Daphnia pulex: one gene and its partners. The protein of the gene in region 1 interacts with the protein of each later gene in a pairwise test. Links are inferred from orthologs where the notes say so. Each region holds a gene or a part of one and is shown on either strand. Other genes may lie near its edges. The genes, in order: GTPase HRas, serine/threonine-protein kinase B-raf-like and ral guanine nucleotide dissociation stimulator-like 1.

The links.
Region 2: the proteins of GTPase HRas (region 1) and serine/threonine-protein kinase B-raf-like interact in a two-hybrid assay, tested with the Drosophila melanogaster proteins (2 studies listed by BioGRID). The link is inferred for Daphnia pulex from reciprocal best matches to the Drosophila melanogaster genes Ras85D and Raf.
Region 3: the proteins of GTPase HRas (region 1) and ral guanine nucleotide dissociation stimulator-like 1 interact in a two-hybrid assay, tested with the Drosophila melanogaster proteins (2 studies listed by BioGRID). The link is inferred for Daphnia pulex from reciprocal best matches to the Drosophila melanogaster genes Ras85D and Rgl.

The regions. Positions count from the first base shown.
Region 1 is NC_060019.1:5,053,506-5,056,947, reverse strand, and holds GTPase HRas, read right to left. Parts: upstream 2,604-3,442; 5' UTR 2,263-2,603; coding exon 2,232-2,262; intron 2,164-2,231; coding exon 2,115-2,163; intron 2,053-2,114; coding exon 2,024-2,052; intron 1,955-2,023; coding exon 1,870-1,954; intron 1,802-1,869; coding exon 1,659-1,801; intron 1,573-1,658; coding exon 1,412-1,572; intron 1,258-1,411; coding exon 1,183-1,257; 3' UTR 646-1,182; downstream 1-645. Other genes in the region: mutS protein homolog 5-like, read left to right, coding at 1-190, 255-443. UniProt on the Drosophila melanogaster protein: Ras proteins bind GDP/GTP and possess intrinsic GTPase activity. Plays a role in eye development by regulating cell growth, survival of postmitotic ommatidial cells and differentiation of photoreceptor cells.
Region 2 is NC_060021.1:7,354,650-7,358,407, reverse strand, and holds the end of serine/threonine-protein kinase B-raf-like, read right to left. Parts: coding exon 3,630-3,758; intron 3,239-3,629; coding exon 3,215-3,238; intron 3,103-3,214; coding exon 2,906-3,102; intron 2,844-2,905; coding exon 2,635-2,843; intron 2,552-2,634; coding exon 2,384-2,551; intron 2,319-2,383; coding exon 2,170-2,318; intron 2,110-2,169; coding exon 1,961-2,109; intron 1,893-1,960; coding exon 1,572-1,892; 3' UTR 524-1,571; downstream 1-523.
Region 3 is NC_060021.1:11,824,702-11,827,775, reverse strand, and holds the end of ral guanine nucleotide dissociation stimulator-like 1, read right to left. Parts: coding exon 2,890-3,074; intron 2,753-2,889; coding exon 2,477-2,752; intron 2,343-2,476; coding exon 1,487-2,342; intron 1,397-1,486; coding exon 1,149-1,396; 3' UTR 521-1,148; downstream 1-520. Other genes in the region: armadillo repeat-containing protein 1-like, read right to left, coding at 16-105.

The DNA of each region.
Region 1 (3,442 bases):
CGTGGAGTATTTGTCCCGGCATACATGGGTTCTCCAAAATACTCGGTTCTTGTCCATGGGTTATTTTCTTGATGAAGAGCAACTCGTTTTCCTGTATCAGCTTATTGAAGATATGTGCACAAATAGTTTTCCTTTAAGTGTCGCGTATGCTTCCGGATTGCCTAATTTTGTCATAAAGCGAGCTCAAGAGGTTAGTTATGTTTTTTTAACAAGAAAATATGACCATTTTTATGTTTTTTCGTGAATATTTCTAGATGCTGAAAGCAGTTGACAGTGTTGGTAATATGACACCCAATAACCTAATATGGAATGATGCAAAATGCTCAACTTTACGCAGAATTTCAGAGTCTTTCTTCGCAACTGATCCTTGGAATGTTGACGATTTAAAGCAGTTTACAAGACGAAATATTCTTGGATGTTGGAGTTCCGTTCCGAATAACTAACAATTATTTTGTCATAAAATCTATAAGTGATTGCGTTACCAATTTTCATTTTTGAAGTGATACATGTGTAAACTGTAAACTATATGTTACCAAGAACAAGAACAAATTTCATCCTCAAAATGAACTAAAAATTCCATTAATGCTGCAAGAATTATTTAATATTAACTACTAAGCCAGAAACGATACACACCACTTTCAAATCTCAGCTTGACGATCATGAATGTGTATTCGCTATTACATGTCTATCGCAAGACCATTTAAAAATAATGTTCGAAAATGAAGTTTTCTGAAAACGTCCAAATTCAAGTCCGTGATATGCTTTCAATTGCAGTCCACGGCAAATAGGGCAGTAAGAATTGCTACATCATTAAGAAACCGTGATTGATAAAACTTGTGAACGTACCAAAATATTACAAACAGGTAAAACGACACAAGCCACACTTACGCACATACTACGCTGAAAGAATTGACAAATACATCTTATATTCGCGGTCTAATTACCATTACCCTTGTGAACAAAAAAATACATCCCCTCCCAAGCCATTCAATCAAAAGGCCTGTTCAGTACCATCTGCTTAGCTACGAGTAGAAAATTTTACTTGTAGAATATTTTCAAACATCCAATCCAATTGCATTCGGCCATAGAATATGGCGTATAGCTCGACAATCAGAAAACACAACTAGAAGTTGCGTGTAAATAAGTTTTTGAACCATGGTACTTTCCTAATCACACCGACGATTACAGAATATGACATTTCAAAGGACGGAGCTTGCCGCCTGGCTTTTTCTGTTTGTCTCGGCCTCGGCGTTCCTTCTAAAAACAAAAAAAAAAACAAAAAATAAAAAAAAAACACCACAACAATTATTATTCCATACATACTTCACTTGTTTTTAATCAAATGAACATGTTTTAAACATTATTCACAAATAATAATACTATTTAATAATAGTAGAAAGTAAAAACTTACATCTTTGCGTATCTCTCTTACTAAAGTGTAGAATGCATCATCTACACCCATGCGAGTCTTGGCAGATGTCTCAACAAAAGGTATTCCATAATTTTTTGCAGCTTCCCTTGCTGAGGCCATATCAACAGCACGAGTGGGTAAGTCACACTTGTTGCCAACCACTATTGACAATTAAAAAAACAAAAAAATAAAAAATAAATTGTGCCCACAGGTAATTCTGTTAAAATAAAAAAAAATGTGTACTTACAAACCATGGGAACTTCTTCAGCATCTTTCACTCTCTTGATTTGTTCCCTGTATGCACTGATGTCTTCAAATGACTTGGCATTATTAACAGCAAATACAAGCAAAAAGCCTTCTCCTGTTCTCATATACTGATCTCTCATGGCACTGCAAGACAAACATTACCAAATACTTAAATGATGTGTACATATTTTTTGGAATTGAAAATAGAATACCTGTATTCTTCTTGCCCAGCGGTATCAAGAATGTCCAATAAGCAGGTCTCTCCATCAATGACAACTTGTTTACGATATGAATCTTCTACAATTATAAAGATTAAAATAGCAGTTAATAAAATCCATTTATTGTGATACTCCAATATGAATTTACCTATTGTAGGATCATATTCATCAACAAAACTATTTTCAAAAATAGATAAATTAATTATTTCATGACTATTTTAAAACAATTAAAAACTTACTGGTTTTGGATGAGCTGAATAGTCAAAGCACTTTTGCCTACACCTCCAGCTAAAATAGATTTGGAATCAAGTTAATTTAAATATTTGAAAATATGATCTCTATTATTAAAGTATTACCACCAACGACGACAAGTTTGTACTCGGTCATATTTGTAAGAGATGAGCTCTGGCGAGCAAGAGAAGTCAAAATAAAAACAGTAGGCTAATGAGGTTGAAGGGAGTTGCCTACAACCACAGAAATATCTTGCTCTTGATTGTTCCGACACTGGTGATCACATTGATCATCCACATGAGCAGGCACACTGTAAACCAGATATTATTCACTTTTTCACGAATAACTGAGTAAGACAAAAGAAAACAAAAGAAATATTAAATCGGCGTCTTTGGGAGAAGAATAAAGGAAGCAAAATGAGTACGATAGGTTTAGCATTGGCATTGGGAACCATCTGCAACTGTGGTTCATGTATTCAAGCGAAGGCCGCAGAACAGGAAATGAAAATCATCCTTCGAAACGCTATTTGTAATACAACGCCATCTATAGGACAAAAGAAAAGTTTATATTTCCCTCTTGGTCACGGAGGTCACCAAGGGGGTCTGGGCACCACATAATTCCCTATTCCTACTCTGATTTTTACGCCAATAACTTCGAAACTATGGATCATGCGATTGGGACAGTTATTTGTGTGACGTGAAACTACTAATTGAAAAACAAAAATTAGAATTTTTAATTCGCGAGAACACGACGAACGAACGCGTTTTCCGGAAAAATGGGCGGAGCTACACACTCCCACACCCCACATTACAGGGTTCGCGGACTTTCACTGCTGACACCCAGCGAGCGCTGCGCCCCAAGCGGTCGGTTACATCAACAAAACGGCTATCTATTTCACTTCGAAAAAATGTCGCGTGTAGATGACGCTGTCTACAATGTTCCTGAGTTTCGCCGCGAAACGAAAAATATACGTTCACTTAAGACTCTGTTGTTCACATAGTTGGCACTCTTTTCTCTAGTGATATCTCCAGATATGAGTCCTCTCAGGCTCTCACTGTTAGTTTCAATACACGGGAACACGGCGCACGAACACTTTTTATAAAAAAAAGGGTGGAACTATACAGGGAGTGTTCACAAACTACATCAGGCTTCAAGGGGGGGGAGTTATTAACAAAAATTTCCCGTAGGGATTCTGTACAGGTTGTTTGGTATCGGTTGTACACACGGAGGGTTAGTTCGAAATTAATTAAACCAATACGTAGATGGCTTTTTTTTAAATAGTGGCTTTTTTATTTCGAATTTCACCAATAGATGGCGCTTTGGAATTTTGAACTGC
Region 2 (3,758 bases), on another chromosome or scaffold:
TTAGCTTTTTGCATGCTTGCTTGGCTTCTTGTGAAAATGTTGAGGGTGTGCTCCAATTACCATGTGGTAGTTCTTTCTCAAGATTGCTCTTTGATTCATTGAAAGTTTATAGACAAATTTTAAAGATCATCAAACATAAATTAAAATACCCTACAATTAATTACAGGAGGACAGCAAATGACTACTCGAGAGACATCCCATCAGAAATGTTGCCCTACCACATTTCTAAACTGCACTTCAGATTCCTCTGCATCACCTGGCCGTCAGTCATTTATAAAGGTAGGAACGATGTTATTTCATTCAAGCTTTAGTCCGATTGTCATTTCCCCTCTGGATCCTGATTAGAACGTGTGTCGCATCTCTTGTTGGTTCGTCAATCATTCACGTCCAGTTGCAGGCCTGTTATCAGTTTGTCGAAAAGATAATTATTTGGTGACACATGGTTTTAATTGTAACGAAGCTCAAAGAGATACGCAGCGTGTTCATCTTTTTAAAAGGAAAGAACCGACAAAGACAAAGAGTGTAGAGTTGAATTTGAGGCATTTCATGTTTATTTGAATGGTTTATCGCAACGGTCGGGGGTATATATACAGCAGAGGAGAGGAAAGCATTACACAAGTGGACAGGAAAACCAGCTAGGATATTCACTTAAATGTTTTCTTTTCTTTTTGTTTCTCCGTTGGTACCTATTCTTTTTTTGTTGTTTTGTGTTCTTGAATTAGTCTTAATTTTTCGGTTTTTTGTTTTCGCCTATACATAACGTCAACGTGGAGGGATACAATTTTGTTTTGTGGTATTTCTTGCTTTGTCAGTCTTCTTTCCCCCCGAGTAGCAGGGATACCTCGCATGGTAGGCTGGACTTGAAATGTTCATATTTCGCACAAGACGACGAATTGTACGTGACGAAGGATTAGGGGTGAGGGGAGGGGGAGAACAAAAACATGGAACATACACATGCACGAAACCGAAGAATTTTGAGAAAGAGAGTTGAAGAATAGGGAGCATATATCGGGTGGAGGGAATAGTAGTAATTAGGATTTAATGAACAGCGCCGGGCGGAGGAACAGAGAAGTTTTTTTTTTAAAAAGGAAAAGAGTCTGAAGTGTGCGAGAAGTTTCACGGCTCTCGTCAACAGGTGAAGGATTTGGGGGCTAACGGACGACAGAAGGTACAATAGATATATCCGGTGTACGAGCAGAGTGGGGGGGACAGTCAATTTGTAGTCTACACAACACAACCAACGGTGCCAATAATATTGTGTACAGTACATTCCTATGCTAGGATCGGAGTTGTCTGAAGGTAGTGTCACGAACTCCTCTAAAAAAATAATATTGATTTAAAAGAAAAGAAAAAAACGGGATCGTCGACTATGGTATGTCTGTTTTTGTTTTGTTTTTATCAATTAAAGCTTAAGAAGGGAAACAATATTTTGAACTTGAGTATAGAGAAACGAAGAAGAGTGGGCAGGAGTGGCGTCGCAATGGCAGAATTCCTAAACGTAATTATCGATTAAAATTCCGGTTTCTCCAGTTTGTTGGTTTAGTTTCTTCTTTCCAGTTATTTTTTCCTTTTCAAATGACACCTCCCGTATTGAATAGAGGAAAGGCGCCGAATTGGGCGTTCATAGGAGTCTTGGGCAGGGCGTAGGCGAAGTAAATATCCTCTGATTGGAAATGACTTCCACTCAGTGTAGGTTCCGAAGCGGAGCGATGGATTTTGGGTAAGGAACGAGACAGACTTTCGAGGGAGACGAGTATCTGGCGAAAAAGAGGTCGTTCCTCTCGCGTAAACTTGATCGACGATTCCAGTAGCCTGCGAAGCGCTTTCGGTGTATCTGATCGAACGTGACTCAAATCAGGACGAAGGAATCCTCGGCCCACCATGAACAATATCTAGAAAATATTCGATTGAACTTTTAACACCACTTTTTTTCCTTTTTGAATTCCTAATTGAATTATACCTGATCTTTGTTGCTGATGTGCGAATAAGGTAGCTGGCCACTAAACAGTTCATAGAGGACAACACCGAAAGCGTACACATCTGACTGGAAACTGTACGGATTTTCATCCTTCATGCGTATCACTTCCGGCGCCATCCAAAGTATTGATCCTAACATAGAAACAAACGAATTGGATGTGTTTTCCTTAATTTTTGGTAAAAAGCAAGTACCCGAAGGTTGCTGAAACTGATGAGATCCTGACCAGCGTGTTTTGACCGTGGCAAGACCGAAATCTCCAATCTTGACAGTTAGGTCGTCGTGCAAGAATATATTGTTGCTTTTAAGATCGCGATGGATAATGTTCTTGGCGTGAAGATAACTAAAAATTGACGAGAAGAAGAATTCAATATTCACTCGTCTACATTGGTTAGCGACACAACTTACTCCATGCCCTGAGCTGTTTGACGCGCTGTTTCGATGAGTGTTAGAAGCTCGAACTTGGTCTCGAGAACGTGGAGATGTTTGTACAGGGATGAACCTTCACACCATTGCGTCACGATGGCTAATTGCGGCTTACTCACGCAACCCATAAAGAGTAAAATGTTGACATGTCTAACGGGAAAAATGGTTCCATTAAATGAATTGTGTTCATTAACGAGTATTAATTGCTTAGTACAACTGATGTGAACACTTGCCTGGTTTTCCGCAACACTGCCACTTCGTTTTTGAATGCCTGTAACTGAGCTGGTGTCGGATCTTTGACATTGAGGGTTTTGACAGCGACTGGGCCGTGCCAGTGTCCGCGATATACAGTTCCGAAGGAGCCAGAACCAATGCGCGGCCCAATGAGGATCTCGTCTGCGGGAATCTCCCAATCTTCGATCGATTCGCGAGACGCTCGCACCTGTTGATTTCAATATGATAAATCATCCACTTTTTGTTACTTTTCCACCTTTTGAGTTGTACCTTTTTGCTACTTTCGTCCGCGCTTCTTGCTCGTGGTCTCCATGGCCGTAAAGTATTGGTTGGGCTGGCCTGTGCACTGTGACTATGCGACGGTTTAGTCGGACTGCTACCCGGACTGGAAGCTCCGCCAAGACCACTCAGGGTGGGTGGGGCTCCTCCGTTGCCTCCGCTTCCGCCGCCTCCCATGAAATTTGTTACTATCAAGTTAAGAAGCGGATTATTAGTTTGAAACATCGACCCCATTTTTTGATCCAACGAATATTTTAAAAAGTTCAGTTAAATGACGACTGTCTGCCCTTTGAAATTTACCTCGGTGGAAGTAGCTGTTGTTGGCTGGTGGTGATTTAACAAAAGGCGCGAAGCATGCAAAAACGTGATAGTAAATTGCGTCAAATTAGCGGTTCAAATAAAATAACAATTAAAAAAAAACTCAAAAAAATTTGTAAATTAAAGGTAGAAGCAAATATGAATCGAAGTGCAGAAGGGGTGACGTAAAGGAGGAAATGAAGCAAGCAAGGTCGAAGCATTTTCATTGACGATCCAAAATCAGCAGAAAAGCGCAATTCAAGAATTGGGATTTTTGTTGTTTTACTAGGGCAACTAGAGTTGTTGATTATTAGTTCTTTTATGATTTTGGATCCAATACAAATTCATAAGACGGACAGAAAATAATCGCGAAAAACTGAGGTGAAAAAAAAAATGACTTGGGGGTTAGGTTACGCACAGGTGGGCAACGTAAGTCCGATAGCCAGGTTGGTGAACGGGAGAGCCCAGGCATGCCTCCCGGGAACATGCGCCTGTTGTTGTTGCTGTTGCGGCTCAGGGGGCTGATTCTCATGCTGCTCTTCCCGGA
Region 3 (3,074 bases), on another chromosome or scaffold:
GACTTTGGCGAATACCTGGATTAGTGTTCCTCGTTTGCTGGGATCTTCAGCGATGTTACGATAAGCCTGAACCGTGACTAGAGCAGTACTACTTATGTCTTCCATTCTGCCGTCATTAAATCCTGAGGAATAAAAACAAAAATTTGTATTGAATTCAACATCAAGCAATAAAATTCTATATTCTATGCTTTTATTTTCCAAATCTCGAGAAAATGAATCAGCATTAACGAAACTAACCTCATGTTTGTTGATCATAACAAGGGGTCCTTTCTCAAAATGGATCCTGTACAGGCCGAGGTAACTAGCCGCTAGATGGCTCAGCTGTCCTCATTACGTGTAAAAATATACTGTTAAGCGGAACTGTTTTATCCCACTGTTACCATACCAGTTTCCAAAACAACAATCATCACGTCATGCATCACGAAATTTTGAGGTCAGTGACACATTTCTGAAGTAAAAAAAAAATGGTATTAAAATAATTGGTCGTTGACCTATAAAAATGTAAAAGCCGAGTGCGTAGTAGATGGTAAATGATTTATTGACATCACTGTAGACGACGCGGGAAAATGAATAACAAAATCTCACAAGACACTTTGAAATCGAACACGGGGCTGATTTGCAGATAAACATAAATCAAAATTTGTCGAGTAACGTGTAAAAAAGATGCTTAGATTTCGTTGAAGATGCAAATTTGTAGCTGAAAATGGAAAACAAATCAACAGAAGAAGAAGAAAGGAGCCCAGGTTTTTGAAATTTCTTGGTCCAGATCATTGCGCAGATTCGCGGAAGAAACTGCTTCACTTTTGGTAGGTATTGCTCGCACAATTCAAGTCATAGATATATCAAACACGCACACAAGAGACAATTCCATCATTGCATAAATCATCAAGATATTTTGATTGCAACAACGCACACTATTTTGAAAGATTCATCGTTATCACATTATGAAAATAGAATGATGTATACCATGCATATGTAAAACAAAAGAAAATAATAAATTGGGGTCATAGGGAAGACGAATAGTAGAACCAATAAAAGAATGATCACTGCATGCCGCCATCATCATCATCATCAAAATAATAATAATATTAATATACAGTAGAGAATGAGATTTTGTCTTATTATTATTTTCTTCTTGTTCCATTCTACTACAAACCGAGAGAGAGAATTTTCTTTCGTGCTTTCAGCGTGTCCTTGGCGGACGAGTCTTTGTGGCATTCCCTCATGCGCAAGCGAGTGGGAGTGGAGCGACCGGAGGCGGAACCCGACGATCCAGGAGGAGTGTGGTGGTGGTGATGATGAGCCATCGATTCGCCTCTGGGCCGCAGGATGAAATTCAAATCGCAACTGGTATTAATGGCGTAGTACACGTTGGCGTTCGAAGGCAGCACCATTTCTATGTTTTCGGGAATTAAATAAAATGGAATGAAATCATTTCCGATCCATCCATCCATCTGCATTAGAGTGACACGTAAAAAGAACCTACCTCCTTTGGGTAGGAGCTGAGCCAGTGTATAATCCTCGGGATTACCCTCGAGACCGTGTTTGACCATGGCGTTGCGGATGACCTGAGGACTCCGTTCGTGATTGCTGACCATGATGGACTTGTAGAGGTTGATGCCCTCCGTCTCTTTGGATGGGGTGGCGATGGAGACGCGAATGACGTAGAAATCTGGCGTCCTCATGGGACTGACGCTGTAAGGGGGCGTCACTCCTCGGGGCAGGCTGCCAGCTTTGCTCGGCGTCGCGTTCTGAGATGACGAATGGGTCCCGACACTCAGGCCCGTCGTCCCGCCTCCGCCGCTGCTGCTGACGGACACGTCCAGCGAAGGCAGGGACGAGCTGCTCGATGAAGACGATAAATGCGTGTGAAACATTTTCTGCTCGAGAGAGGCCGAACTCTCGCCCAGCGAGAGGTTGGCGCTGTTGGCGCCGTCCAGTTCCGACAGGAATTGGCTGCTCGAGCTGCTCGACGTGCTGGCGATCGAATCATTTTTACGGTGGCCGTAACCGTTGGGTTTGCGTCGCGGGAACTTTTCGCTGTTGCGGGCCGAGCTGTGCCCGGAATTGCACGGCTCCAAGTTGCACGACAATTCGTAAGCTTCGCGATCGTCCAGCACCATCAGCGACTCGAACCAGCGCTCGAAACGTGAGTCGTTGGCGATTTGATAGGAATTGGCTGCTCCTTGAAACAATTTGATTTGGGCTAGGACCTCGAATTCCTTTCTCCTTTTGTCGAAATTGATTAAACCGTCGGCTGTCGTATCCGGAATGGCCGTGTCCACCATCGTCAAGTCCGTCAAGAACGTTCCCAAATACGGAATGGTCCCATGGCTTATAAGCTGTTGTTTTTTAGAAAGAATAAAGAAAAATAAACAAACGGGAATTTGTCACAAACAGAAGCAGGAAAAAAGAATAAAATCTAAAAATGTTTATGATTATTAAAATAAAATAAGAAAAAAAAGGAAAAACTGACGTTGGAGTGGCTGGCCTGTTTCTGGATGACCTTTAACATTTGTCGGTCATTCTCGCCGGCTGTTTCGGCAAACTTGGCCGTTCCTTCTTTCATGAGCAACTCTCTCTGAGCCGATTGATTATTTTCCTCGCTGAAAATTCTGGCCAGCTCCTCGTACACTTCCACTTTATCTCTCGGGACGTTTGCCCAAACGTGTTTGAGTCGGTAGATTGGATTCGATTGCAGCGCTGAAATGATGGCCTTCAGCGACGAGAAATTCTTTAAAACTCGTAATTCCTGTACGTGATCACATGTAAAAACAGCCAACACGTTATTATAATTTCATTCCAACAAACAAAACAAGACAGAAGCCAATGGCCCCCTTTTTATTAATTTCTATTAAATTAAAACCCTAGTTGTTTTATCGTCGTCACCTGTGCAACGTCAATCCACTTGGCTATGACGCGAGCCCTCTGCTGGGATCTCGGCTCGGTCGACCCGACCAGGATGGTACTGATGACGCGATAGGACACGGCGTTGAACTGCTCGACGGTGGCCGCCACTGAAGAAGCTTCCGACGAACGGGCGCCTTTGCCGATTTTGCCCTTGTCGCGATCTC